2 linked regions of the Pelodiscus sinensis genome follow. The main gene of each other region encodes a partner of the protein of the gene in region 2 in a complex. Links are inferred from orthologs where the notes say so. Each region holds a gene or a part of one and is shown on either strand. Other genes may lie near its edges.

Region 1 (7,201 bases), on a different chromosome or scaffold from region 2:
AATTATCTCTACACTAGAGATGTAAATGGTTAACCAGTAAGCATCACCCTTAATGGATGGTGCATTTCAATTAACCCATGGAGGCAGGAGCAGCTCCCCATCTGCCACAGGCAGAGGGCTGCTCCAGCCCTATGGGTCCCAGCCCTTCCTGCAATAGGACCCATAGGGCTGGAACAACCACCTGCCTGTGGTGGTGAAGGTGGGAGACTCCATGCAATTGGGCTGGAGCAGCCCCTCCATCTGCCCATCCCTTTAAACCAGGCATGTCCAAAGTCCGGCCCGCGGGCCAATTGTGGCCCGTGTTCCGGTTTAATACGGCCCCCGCTTCCTCCCCCTCTCCCGGCTCCCCGGCGCTCTTTTGAACTGGCGCGCCCAGCGTGCCGCTTCCGGCCGCGCCGCCGCCGCCCATGGCCTCCGCGGTCCTAGAGCCTGCCCTGTAGGGCAGGTCCGCAGCCCTGCTCCCCCGCTCGGCTGCGGGTTCGCCCTGCCCCCGGGACGCCGTGAGGCCGGCGTGCCCTGTGCTCTCCACCCGCCTCCGACCCCGCGGGCCCTCCGCCTTGGGGCTGAGAGTGCGGGAACGGCCCTCACGCATGTTCACATCTTCAAATCTGGCCCTCTTTGAAAAAAGTTTGGACACCCCTGTTTTAAACCATTTAACTGGTTAAATATGTTTAGCTGGTTAACCAATTAAACGGGATTTTACATCCCTACTTTATACTATTCTAACTATAGAACAGATGGCTTTACACAACCACTAGGAAAATTGTTTTGCACTAAATGTCAATTTCTCATTTAGCACTTTTACTCAATTAGGCTAAAGCTGGACAGACTACATACTAGGTATAAAATCCACTAAACTACTACTTATTTATTCCCATTAGTTAATTCTGTTTCCTTGCAACAGGAATACACAGCTGTAGGAGGACAAAACTGTAAAATATACTGATTTGTGTACAGCTAGCCTTGATTCTTAAGGTGGTTCTTGGTTTGATGCGTTTCAAATGATCAATGAGGACATGTCTCTTAAAAAGATTTGAAAGCAACATGTAATGCCAGAAAGAGCTCTACAACTCTCCTGAAATAGAAAAAAGAGTTGACAGGTCAAAACATGTGCTGCAGTTACCACACTACTGTGTTTGTCATATTTCCCATGAGTAAACCCAAATGCAACCTCGCCTCTCTGAAGCATTTATATAACCAGCTTTTTTAGGGTGGAGCACGTAACTGAATAAGAACAGTTTAACCCTTATCGCCTGACACTGTGAGAAGGATTTATAGCCTTCTAAAACAAGTTCTGATTTGCTATTTGAATTTTAATTCAAATATCAAACAGCATTGCCTGACATGTCAGAAAAAAGTAATTTCACAAAGGGATGTTGAGGGATAGTTAAAGTTTGATAAAACCACTAAATTACTATCCCACTTGCACAAATAAAATAGTTGCTAGTTTCAGGCAAATGCTAAATATTAAAACATTAAAAGCTATATTAACTTTAAGTTACACCTAGCCCTAGGCAGTGATAGATTACAGTCAACAGGTTTACTTACATTGTAAGGAAAAGCCATAGTAAAAAAGCACAATTTTTAATTTCTCTTTCCTTAAGAAAGTTTTTCTGTGGACTACTTTGGGCATCTGGAAGGGCACTGTGTCCATTTCAGTTCACATGTATACATGCAATTATATCAATTATTTTCAGATGTATACAAAGATTACTATGAACATACTTTTCAAAGCCAAAATAAAAATGTACACACATGAGTTTTAAAAAGGGCTAAGGAAACTGAAGCAGCAAGATACAAGAACAAGTGCATTGGGGTGCACCTTGAGGCAAGAGACACCTGATTTAAAAATATTGCTATAGGATGTCTGAATTATGAAGCAAGCAGCTTTACTATCTCAGAAGGAGAAACTGCCATGCTGAAATAGCACATCATGTTTGCACATTACCGCCTATATACATGAGTACTGCTCATTGTAACAATTCAAAATCACCAGTACAGAATGCCAGGAATGCAATTCATGTATGTAGTTTTAAGTGAGAATTAGATGCCAACTATTAAAAAAAATCCACTGGGGGGGCAGGGCGACAGGGCGGGGGTGTCCCTTCTTTCTTCCCCAACATACAAACATATTTCTGCATTTGTCAGTCATTTGTATTTCAACACTCGCCACAGCCAGCATTTGCAAACCTCACACTTACATCCTTTCTGAAATTCACCTCTTTATACAACTAACAGGGAGAGAACACCCACCCCGGAAAGATGAAAAGGGCTGATGCCTATTACGTCTGTGCAACTGACTTAAGAACCCAGAACTTCAGGGTTTTTTTTTTTTTAAATGGTTAGTTTGATTATTGAAAATAACACTGTAGCCACTCCAAAGCCAAACGGCGGCGGGGGGGGGGGGGAGAGGGGGAGAAACGAAAGAGGAGGAGGAATTTGGTCTGACAGAGGCAGACTTTCAAGCGCTCAATCAGAGGCATATACAAATCCACCCTCTCCCCCATCTGGGCGCCGTGAGTCACAATAAAATAAATAATAAAAGAGACACACCCTCTGGGCTGAGCCGACAGAATCACCCCTCCCTGCTCACAAGCACAGGCGGCGTGGGGTGGGGGGAGTAAGAGGCACTGGGGCTAGAAAGTTGCAAGGCAGAGCGAAGAAGGGAGGGGGCGGAGGAACCGGGGCGCTGCGGCGGCGGCTGCCGGGCGATACAATGTATCGGCGGCGGCTCCTCCGGCTGTTGCAACATTCGGTGCCCACTTCCTGCACCCGCCAGTGCCGCCCTCCGCGCCCCGCCGGGCCGCCCTCACCTGGATGTAGTTGTTCTCGCAGTAGTCGGCCACCCGCGTGAGGTTCTGGTAGCTCTCGAGCAGCGCCCTCTTGCCCGAGGGGATCTCCTCCTCTAGCAGCATCTGCAGCTCTGCCATTTTCCTCCCCTCCGCATCGCTTCCTCTTGCATTAAAGAGACAGCGGCGGCGAGCCCACAACCCGCCTGGTATTGTGGGATTCCTCCTCGCCTCGCTTTCGTGAGGCCGCCCTGCTTTCCCCACCCACCCCGAAAATGCCCGTCGCACTGCATGCTGGGAGTTGTAGTCTGCTCCTCTCCAACCCCGCCCCCCTCCCCGCGGTATTTGGTTCTGGGAGTGGGCATGCGCCGGGGAAGCTGCAAGGTGTGGCTTGGGGTGGTTCTCTTCCCTTAGGCTGCGCCGTGGCTGAGCTCGGTGCTCGCTCCCACACGAGCAGTTTCTCACTAGAGGGAAAGCTGAGCTGTTAGTCCCACTCGTTTCACCGGCTTGGTTCAAAGCAGGATAGGGCTGGGCCAGCTGCAACTGAGGGAAATTAAACAGCATAGAGCCAGTTCCTCGGGGAGACCCGCTCTGCATTGCAACGGGGAGAGACAAAAGGCGTGACACTCAGTATTTAAACACCTTCTTCCCATCTACCCTGCCTCCCTGGATTATCCAGGCAGACCTTTCTCAGCGGCTGTAACAAACATTGAGATTGTCCACATATTAAAGACTTCTGAACGGCAGCCATTAACACTTTTCAGCATAACACTATTATTGCTCTTTTTTCTGGAATCAGTGTCCTGGTCTGACCTAGTGGTGCCCTTGTGCCACAAGATAGCAGATATCCTGGACCTGTACGTGGAGTTTCCAAATATAAGAGAAAGCAGTGATGTGAGATTTAGATATATTTTGATTAGAGAAAGCAGTCATATAGCACTTTAAAGGCTAACAAGATAGTTCATTAGGTGATGAGCTTTCGTGGAGCAGACCCACTTCTTCAGATCATACTCTGAAAGAGAATTGGTATGACCATTATGTAACAGAGGGATACAATGAAAAATGTAAACAAATTACAAACTAATGAATGGGCTACATAGAACAGAAGGTGGGGGCCAGGGGACACGGAAGGAGGAAATTGCTTATTAAGAGTTAATTAAGTGGCTAATCTGGACTTACTATGAATATCAAAAGGTGGGGAGGCTGTGTTTGTAATGTGTCAGGTAATTATCATCCATATTAAGGCCCATTCACAACCTGTCAAATTTTAGCATAAATAAAAGTTCTGAAGTCTCCCTCTGTAATCAGGTGTTAAAGTCTCTTTGTAGTAAGACGCATGTTGTCAGGTCTTTAAGGGAATGTCCAGTTTGATTAAAATGGTGGCTGATAGGTTTCTGTGTGTGGAGATGTCTGATGTCAGAACTTCAGCCTGCATTTTAATCAAACTGGCCATAGCATGCATGTCCAATAGCATGCAGATAATCATGGATTCTAGGAATCCAAGCCCAGCAACAGGTCCAATATCCAGTTGATTCCAAGGGAGCAATCTGGGCCTCAGGTATTTACTTTAGTCAGAGCTCAAGGCAAAGAGCCTCATACAGTTCCTTCTTTCCCCAATTGGCTTCTACACAGCAAAACCTCACATAACCCAACACTACCAACAATACAGCATGTCTTTACAAGATTCAAAATTTGCTTGTATGCCAAGGAGAATAATGTGGAAGAATATGTTTATAGGACCACTTGGTTATCATCTGCGTGACAGTGTGCTAGAGGCTAAAGAGCAAGCCAGCTGTCTTGTCACTTAGATGCCACTTAGTTCCCGAGAGAAAGCAGAGGGAGATAATTAGATAGGCTGACTGGGTGAGATAAGGAGTCAATTAGCCCATCAGCCCAAGTCTGATAGAGATGCACAGGAAGGAAGTGGTGGAAAGAGGCTAGTTGTGCTAAGTCACTTCTACATAGCAGAGCTAAACTCGAATTAAACTATGTAACTTCAGCTATGTCAATTGTGTAGCTGAAGTCGAAATAGCTTAATTTGCCTTTTGGCATAGTCTACACTGCAGGAAGTCGAAGGAAGAACACTTTTTCTTCAACTTCCCTCACTCTTCATGAAATGATGGTTACCATGAGTCAGAGTAATAAGTCCTCCAGCTCAACATTATTTTGAAATAAAGGCTTGTAGCATAGATGCACACTATGTTATTTGGGAATAACGCTGCTGTATAGATAGCCATAGAGGGCTCTGGGAAGGGAGATTTTTATTCCACTCAAGTCCAGAGGTGTGGGTCAAAAGCACTGCAGATATTGTAAACAGATTGTTGCATAGTGAGTGCTGTGGTGGCAGTGAAAGGAACTTAAAATGAACACGTACTACAAATGTGCAACCATTGAATTTTGCAGTTTCTTCACGGAAGACCCCACTTGCCACAACATTACTTCAGCCCCATTTGCAGACAGGGAAAACAAGGGCAAGTAACTCACTCAGTCTCACAAAGCAAGCCAACAGCAGAGTGCATGCATAGAGCACCTGCCCTGACTCCATGGGCAAATCTAGACTACCCTCAGCTTCAGAAAGAAGATATGCAAATTAGGTGTGAATTTGCATATCTTCTTCCAATCCCTTTTTCGGAAGAGGATTTTTGAAAAAAAAAAAAAGCAGTCTAGATGGGGTTTTTCACGCAAAAACCCCTTTTTCAAAAAAAACCTGTAAACCTAATTTTTTGAGGAATAAGGGTTCTTTTGAAAAAGGGAGGGTTTTGCATGAAAAACCCCATCTAGACTACTTTTTTTTTTTTAAATCCTCTTCCGAAAAAGGGATCGGAAGAAGATATGCAAATTCATACCTAATTTGCATATCTTTCGGAAGCCGAGGGGAGTCTAGACATGCCTCAAAGGTCATACTGAAAGAGAATAGAAAATGGTATCTTCAAGCTCTGCCCCTGGAGTTACGCTTGGGAGGAACATATATGGTCTCATGCCCCTCCTTAATATACCATGATTCCTGCATAGGATGCTGCCCAGTGCAGTGGCTGCATTCTCCCAGGTACCTGCTATGCTGCACTAGGCAGCATAGCCAGAGGCTGCCTGGGAGGAGGCACAGCGAGAAGGGGCGCTGCCCCACTAGGTAACATGCCAAGGAGATGAGGAGAGCTGGATCGGGGGTGGAAATAAGTCATATGGAGGTGGGGCTATGTGGGGAGATTTCATGGGGGTGGGAAGCCTACATTCCCCTTCAGCTGGTGCTCCCTTTGTGACCATTCCACTAATCAGCCCTGCTCTGTCCACAAAATGCTATCCTTGTGAGTTGTTTGCATGAGATTCTGCTCATAGTCGATCCTGTAGCTGTTTAAAACATGTTGATGTCATTAAGTTCTCTGAGTTCCATCTGGCTTCTTCATTTTGGCTCCCTCTCAGTGGGAGTTGCAGATACCTATGGGCTCATCCTTGGGCTTGGCTCATTTTTTATTGGCGGGAGAGGGGGGAGAGGAAGTAAGTGGTGCTATAGTGCAAACAGCACTCACTTGTGGCACCAAAATGAGACTTTACTCACAGTAATTTGTCCAGATCTGTGACCTTCTGTCTTCTTTCTTAGGCCTTGCCTGCAGTGGCAAGCTTTACCACTGGTGTGTAGTTACTAGGGATGTAAACTCCCGTTCAGTTGGTTACCTGATTACCAGTTAACCCATTAAAGAGGGCATGGGCAGAGGCTGCTCCAGCCTAGCCAGAGCAGTCCCTGCCTGCTGGGAGTTTGGGCCTACCACAGTCAGAGGCAGCTCAGATCATCCCCTATCCAAACAGGCTCCCTGTGGGGCTGGAGCAGACCCCTGCCCACAGCAGGAGGGGAGATGCTCCAGCCCCCACCAATTAACAGTTAACTGTAAACAGTAAGCATCACCGGTTAACCTTTCACATCCCAGCTATTAGTTACACGGGTATGACTTCCCCCCCATGTCAACTTATTCTGATATATGAGTGGTTTTGGCCTGTGTGCCTTGCGCGCTTGTGTGGCCACTCAGGATTCAAGTGCCACCCAGCTTATTAGCAGAGCACTCAGCTTTGTTCCTACGGTTGGTACATGTTTGCATATGCCTGGTACACACAGAAAAATGTATTCCGCGCATGGATAGAAAAATTTAGCGGGAACATTGGGTTTAGGGTTGCCAGCCACCCACCCACCCACACCAAACACACATCCTGTGTGGCTACTACCAAGAGCCACCAAGCTGGGAACAAAGCGGGAAGCAGCAGAGCCTGCTCTGCAAAAGCCGCTGTCTGCTACCCAAAGCAGAGAGGCTATGTCTACACTGGCGAGTTATTGCACAAGTACGGCCATTCTTGCGCAAGAATCCGCTGAGCATCTACACTGCCCACCCACTCTTGTGCAAGTAAATGTACAGTACGGCGTGATA
Region 2 (7,334 bases):
CTCCCTCTTTAACATTATGTTGCCATTCAGTTACCACAGCGATGAATACAGTTTAAAAACAAAAAACAAAAACCAACTTAGGTAGAAAAACAAGCAGCTTCATGAACTCCCACACAGATTTCCATTTGATGCTCTACCAGTTTTGCAGTGGAATACACAACGTAAAGTTGGACTACCTACATACACCTCCTAAACCACGCAATGTAAAATGCATTTTAAAATGCAACCATGTAACTGCTAAAAATCATAGCGGTTACACACACAGTGGGCAGCGAAGCCTCCCTAGGAGCAAGGCCAGCAAGGGCTGCTGCTGGCCCAACTCCCCGGGGTGTGAGGAAAGTTTCTCTGCAGACTCTGCTGCAGCTGGGGCAAGGGAGTAGGTGGCCAGGGCTACCACAGACAGGGTGGAGAGCTATTATAGCCCCTAACAGTTAACAGAATTGTTATGCCTCTCCAGTTCAGGGTGATGCTTACTGGTTAACAGGTTAACCTTTTAGATCCCTGAAGTTAAGCATTTTTACTGTATGTCATCTGGAGCAGATGCAATTTCAGAGGCTTGAAAGACAAACACCATATTCCTGTCAAGCAGAGTACCAGTGAGACATTGCTGATGATTAAAGCCGGATCAACCCTTAACACTTTTCCCCCATATAGATGTGTAAGCTTAGGGTTAATTTATTTTATAAGACCACATAGGTATATGGGCAAAGCCTTAACAGAGTTACAGTAGCAAAACGGTGATTTTATCTATACAATGTATTTCACTCACCAAACCATAAGCTATACTGTCAAAAGATTATTGCCAATATAACTGTCTACACTAGAAGGGTTCTGCCAGCATACCTTACAACAGCAAGCACAGAAGTGTAAATAAGGAAGATTTAATAAGTTTCTTAAAGTCATTTTCTCTGAATACAAGGTTTCTCTGTTTTACTATAACCTTATTTGTCATCTTTTTTTACTGTTACAGTATTAAACTGAAACAGCAGAGAGAGCATGCTGGTCATTATACACACACACACACCCACATATATACACATGTGCACACATGTGTATATATACACACACATACAGAGCAAACTAAAACCTTGTCTGCACAAGAACTTTGCACCTGTTTAATTAGCCTGACAGTTAAACCACTGCAAACCTGTTCCTAAATTGACCAAGTCATAAATAAGCATACCCAATACAACCTTTTTGCACCAGTTTAACTAAATCAGTTAAAAAACCCACAGTAACAGGTATATAAATCTGCATGTAGACATGCTCTTAAAGTCTCACACTACAAAACTATTAGAAAATCACTGTCTCACAATGTTTAATTTTACTAGACTAAATTAAATTTCTGAAGTAAAACAATGTAAAAGCTCTCTCAAGAATCGGGTTGCAGCTCATAGTTGAACCAGGAATCACTCCACTGAGGCACTCAGTCAGTACCTGTTGCATCCGTCAGGGTGATTGTGGTTCTTTTTATGAATCAACTCAAAAGTGTTTTTGAAACAGTAAGTGCAAAGTCTGAGCGTGCAGAATTACAAACACATAGAATAGCCTGTGGAACTTAGAGTCTCAATCCTGAAAATGTCTGTACAGTATGAAGACATCAAATCAAGTGCACTCAAGCTGTGCATTCTAGAATGCACTAGTTAAAGCAGGCTATATATAAATAGTAGTAAAATCTGAATTAACCAAAATTCACTATCACCTAACTGATTCATTAGAAACCTGAAGTTCTACTTCATGTCTGTATATCATTGTTGAAGAAAGTCTGATACGTCAAGAAGAATTGAACGATTTAAAAATGATCACTACAAAGTCTATAGTTTTGAAGCAAGGTTTCTTGTGTTTAAACAAGATGGAAAGACTTATCAAGTTAAGCCTTTCCAATGAAGGAGTGGTGATTTTTTCCTAGATGAATAATCATAAGGTATGTTCACTTCCTGCAGCCGTGAATCATTTTCCTTTACAAAAACACTATTTTCTTTCCTTCATTTTTCTAATCAACATAGAGCCAACCTCTTTTAGCACCAAAAAGGATTCAAAAACATCTGCTACAATTAAAACTAGCAGCAATCTTTCTAAACAACCACCTGTCTCAAACTTATTGAGATTACAAGATATTACTTTTAATGAGATCTTTCCTCTTAGGCGGCTAGGAACCTTTTGCAGGTTGGACTGGGAAGCTGACCCATACTACCCTTGATCCCATGACTGACAAGCAAAAACACACACAAAAACAGAGGGGAAATAATGCCCGCTTCACACCCCATCGGGCTCTCCCTAAGAAATCCCGTGGGCAGACGGGAGACAGTCATTCTCCCTTGGGATTGTGGGTGGCCTCGCAAGCCTCTCCCCTCCCTGCTCCTTCTGGGGGAGAAACACCCACCCACCCGCGGGCTTCGGGACCCGACGGGTCGGTGAGATCGGCCTCCACGCAGAGGGAGGCCCCGGGGAGCGCAGGGGGCCCCCTCCCCGCGGCGATCTCACCCCCATGGCCCAGGGAGGCCGCCACCAGACGGGAAGTTTTCCCACCGCGGCTCCGCGACCCTCGCAGGAAGCCCCGAGCCCACAGTGGCTGCCCAGCGCTGCAGCCGAGGATGAGCCTGTGCGGCGAGAGCTCGAGCGGGCAGCGGCTGCGCCCCGGGCCCCGCAGCTAGGCCGCGGCGGAGCCGCCAGGGTCCCGCTGCAGGATCAGGCGCAGGAGAGAAACTGCAGCGCAGGGCCCAGGAGCGACTGCGGCGGCCGAGACCCTCCCGCCCGGCTCCCCGCGCCGTCCCGCCCCCGCCGCGGGGCCCCCGCACCTTCTTGATGTTGTAGAGCCGGGTGAGCATGCCGATGCCCCGGTCGTTCAGGATGGTCAGTTTCTCCGCCAGCTTCTGCTGGCTGGGCTGCAGCACCGAGCGCGACATCCTGCTGCGGCCGCCCCGCGCTCGCGGCCCAGGCCCCGCCGCCTCCCGGCCCGGCCCCGCTCACAGCGCCTCCATCGCCGGCCCCGCGCTGCCCTCCGCTCGGCCTCGCTCGCAGGCTCCGCTAGGCGTGGCGCCGGCGGCGGCTCTGCCCGCTGCCCACCGCCAGCCAGGCCGGGCTCTGCCTCCGCGTCACATGACGCGCCGCTCGCTGCCGCCCCCTGCGGCCGACAGCGGGAGTCGCGGCCGCCGGGGCGAGATTGGCTGGTCGCGCTGGGTCGGAGTCTTGCCGCCCGCTGGCCCGGCTGGGGATCAGAGACGGGGCTGGGCGGTGACTCGCCTGGCCTCTCTTCTGGGGGCTCCTATTGAATCCTCTTCAAGCAGCCGCCACAGTGGGGCCAGGCCCCAACAGCCACGAAGTATAACCCATCCTCATTCGCCCCATAGCACGAGAGTGGGATACACCTTCAGCTTTGGGGAGGGGGGCTGCTGGGGTCCATGTTGCCCCAGGCTAGCAACTGACTTTTTTAAAGAACAAAAATTGAGATTTTTACATAATCCTGGGATTCAGGAGCTAGAGTCAAAAGCCAGCATACCAACAGCTGCAAGCATCGCTGTCCAATAGGGTCCTTCCAAATTCAAGCCATGAAAAATATGTTGGCTGTGAAATCGGCCTTCCTCTGTGAACTCTGGCCTTTTGTGTCCTTTTACCCTATACTCTACAGATCTCATGGGCAGACCAGCAATATTCCTTTTAACTTTTTCCCCAACCATGTGTGGAATAAATTTTGTTATGTGCACAAAGGCATATGCAGATCAGCAGAAACATGTGCTGCCAATTGTGGGCACTCTGCTAATCAGCAAGGTGACATTTGAATCTCTTCTGGGTGGCCACCCAAGTGCACAATTTATAGGGAACACTGGAAGCCAGTGTTACTCAATTTGGGAATCCTGATCCAAAAGGGCATTGCAGGAGGGGTCACATGGTTATTTGGGGGGGGTCATTGTATTGCCACCCTTACTTCTGCACTGCCTTCAGAATTAGGAAGCCAGAGAGAGGTTACTGTTGGCTGGGTGACCAACTCTGATGGCAGCACTGTGGCCAGGAGCAGCACAGACATAAGTGTAGCAGTATAGGAACCTCTCGAAAAATAACCTTGTAACCCAACCCCACAACTCCTTTTTGATTCAGGACTGCTGCAATTACAATACTGTGAATTTTCACATTGTAATAGCTAAAATAATGACATTTACAGGCAGTCCCCGACTTACGTGGATCCGACTTACGTCAGATCCCTAGATACGAACGGGGTGAGGCAACTCCCGCACATGCGCAGCAGCATTCCCGGGGCTCGCTCACCTGGGTCCTAGGATCCTCCTCCTCCTCGGGCCGGCTCCGACTGGGGTCCCGCAGAGCTGCCGGGCAGAGGAAAAGTGCCTCCCCACGCCCGCTGCCCCCCCCCCCCCCCGCGGCCTCGCATCCTGCACGCCTCCCCCCTTCCCCCTGCCAGCAACAGGCTGCCCCCTACCCTGAGCAACAGGCTGCCAAACAGCAGACAAAAGCAGCCTCTCCGCCCCTCCTCCCCCTATACATGCTGGGCTCCCTGGGCAAACAAAGACTCCACCAAAACAAACAAAGTGCTGGCCTCATTGTGTTAGCAAAAAAAGGACCCTCCTCCTAGAACCCTGGGTGGTGTGTGGAAATAAAGCTATTAGCTCAAAGCATGGTGCAGAGCTGTTTGGTATTTGATGAGTTACTCCTTTAGTCCTGAGTTTGTCACAGGGACAGAAATAGATGTGAAATCTTCTGAACAGGGGAACAGACAGCAAAACAAACATTAGAGGGGAGTTAACCTTTCCCTATGTTATCCAAAACTAAAAAAAATGTTTGGCTAGAGTTTCCCCTACAATATGTACCAGTTCCGACTTACATACAAATTCAACTTAAGAACAAACCTACAGTCCCTATCTTGTACGTAACCCGGGGACTGCCTGTACTATTTTTAAAATCCTGTGATCATGAAATTAACCAGTTTTGATGGATGTTAGATGTTTGGCTGCATGTGTCTCTTCTCCCTGCATGCTGTCCTAGCTCTTCACAGACAGATACAAAGCTACTTCTAATACAAGGTCTTATGTTTTTTAGTACAACCAAAATGTACCATGGATTTGATAGGTCCCTACTAATCAGCCCTGAGTACTGGCAATACTGCAGTCTTTCCCTTTTCTATTCCAGCTACATAATGCTGACATCTTGGGGTCAGTGAAACACACATCCATGAATTCCCCAACTGAAGAGTCCTTGAGCCCAAATCATGGAGTGGGGGAGCCAGGGAATACCACCTAGCTGCCACTAATAGCACGGTAGGGTTGCCAGGTGTCTGGTTTGAAGCTTTCTGTTTGGGAAACAAATTGAGAAAATATAAATATCCGGTATTTTCTACATAAGATGTAATGTAGATTGTGATGTAATGTCAAGTGTGTCCGGTATTTTTGTTGAAACCATTTGGCAACCCTAAGCACAGGTCTGCTAAGATGCTCTCCAGATGGGTGCAGGACCAGGCCTTGTCCTTTCTTGGACAAAATATCTACCAGAATATCTTATTCCTTGGTACACACCTCCTGTTCTCCCTGGCTCTTCAAGTACTGTCTTCAGGTGGACTAAGGTCTATCTGGGCTAGAGAAGGACTCAGCCTCTGTTCACTTGAGCAGAGGATGCTGCTGTATCATTAACTCCAAGTTCTCAAAAATCATGAGGTTGGCTTAAAAATCATAAATTTGGAGATCACTTTATTTGCTTTGTGGTGTTTGAGCTGGTAGGGTACACTCAGGTACCAGTTTTATACATTATTCTACCAACATGTGGGCTAGAAACATTTTTAAAATACAGGCAGTCCCTGGGTTACGAACAAGTTAGGGACTGTAGGTTTGTTCTTAAGTTGAATCTGTATGGGTACGTCTACACTACAGCGCTAATTCGAACTAACTTAGTTCGAATTAGTTAATTCGAACTAAGCTAATTCGAACTAACGCGTCTAGAACTAAAAACTAGTTCGAATTAGCATTTTGCTAATTCGAACTAGCGTGTCCACACTGATTGGACGCAGGGGGGCATTTAAGGGCGGCTGAAACCGGTTCCGGCAGGGCATCAGGTCAGTAGTTGCTTTGTGTGGCTGCTGTCTGAGGCTATCTGAGGCTCGTGCTTAAAGGGACCCCCCCGGACAGCCGGTTCTCAGCTTTTCCTGCTTCCTTGCCAACCTCGCCAAGGGACAGCAAAGCGTTGGTCTCTGTGCCCGTCTGTGTTGGTGCTTCCCTTCGGGGCCGCCGCCGCAGGTGGCAACATGGAGCCACAGCTCGCCCTGCACCTTCTGGTGCACTTTCTGGACTTGCTGCTGCAAGCCTGCCACCAATGGCTCAAGGCTGCCTGGCACCTCCTGGTGCACGTCAGCCCCCTGCCTCTCCGCCTGGCCACCCTGGGGGCCGTGGAGAAGCCGCGGCAGCGCCCCGGCACCGGCATGCCCCGCCACATCTGGCGTCGACACCAGCAGCGACTGGTGGGACCGCATCGTCCTGGAGCGCTGGGAGGACCGACAGTGGACCCAGAACTTCAGGATGAGGAGGGACACCTTCCTGGAGCTCTGCGAGTGGCTCGCCCCTGCCCTGCGCAGAAGGGACACTTGCATGAGGCCCGCCATCCCCCTCCAGAAGCGGGTGGCCATCGCCCTCTGGAAGCTCTCCACGCCGGACAGCTACCGATCCGTCAGGAACCAGTTCGACGTGGGGAGATCCACCATCGGAGCGGTGCTCATGCAGGTATGGCACTCGTCGGCCACCGAGCCGGTGGGGAGGGGGGCTGCGAGGAGGGGATGGGCCGCCCCAGGGACAAAGGGGGGCCAGGAGGAGGCGAAAGCGCCCTGCACCGGTGGGGTCGGTCTGTCCCGGCCGTACTACACGCCGCCAGGGGGGTTGCTTCCGGGAGTGGGGCGCGGGGCACTGCCAGGGCATGAATGCTCCCAGCCACCCAGGCGCCCCACTGATTGGCGCTTTGCTGTGTCTCTCTCCGCAGGTGGTCAAGGCCATCACCCGGGTGCTGCTCTGCAGGGTGGTCCGCCTCGCCGACCCGGACCCCGTCATCCGGGGATTCGGCGCCCTCGGCTTCCCCAACTGTGGGGGGGCCATCGACGGGACGCACATCCCCATCCGTGCCCCGGAACACCAAGCCTCCCGGTACGTCAACCGCAAGGGGTACTTCTCCATCCTCCTGCAGGCCGTGTGTGACCACCGGGGACAGTTCACGGACATTAATGTGGGCTGGTCCGGCAAAGCACACGACGCCCGGGTGTACCGCAACTCCTCCGTGTGCCAGCGGCTGCAGGACGGGACCTTCTTCCCTGACTGCCACATCAGGGTCGGGGACGTGGACATGCCCGT

Evidence for each region.
Region 1: NCKAP1 (region 2) and ABI1 share a complex: the UniProt entries of both Homo sapiens proteins name them as parts of the WAVE2 complex. The link is inferred for Pelodiscus sinensis from reciprocal best matches to the Homo sapiens genes NCKAP1 and ABI1.

What each region holds. Positions count from the first base shown.
Region 1 is NC_134712.1:226,076,372-226,083,572, forward strand, and holds the start of ABI1 (abl interactor 1), read right to left. Parts: upstream 3,050-7,201; 5' UTR 2,931-3,049; coding exon 2,814-2,930; intron 1-2,813. UniProt on the Homo sapiens protein: May act in negative regulation of cell growth and transformation by interacting with nonreceptor tyrosine kinases ABL1 and/or ABL2. May play a role in regulation of EGF-induced Erk pathway activation. Involved in cytoskeletal reorganization and EGFR signaling.
Region 2 is NC_134717.1:49,699,397-49,706,730, forward strand, and holds the start of NCKAP1 (nck-associated protein 1), read right to left. Parts: upstream 3,090-7,334; 5' UTR 2,907-3,089; coding exon 2,799-2,906; intron 1-2,798. UniProt on the Homo sapiens protein: Part of the WAVE complex that regulates lamellipodia formation. The WAVE complex regulates actin filament reorganization via its interaction with the Arp2/3 complex. Actin remodeling activity is regulated by RAC1.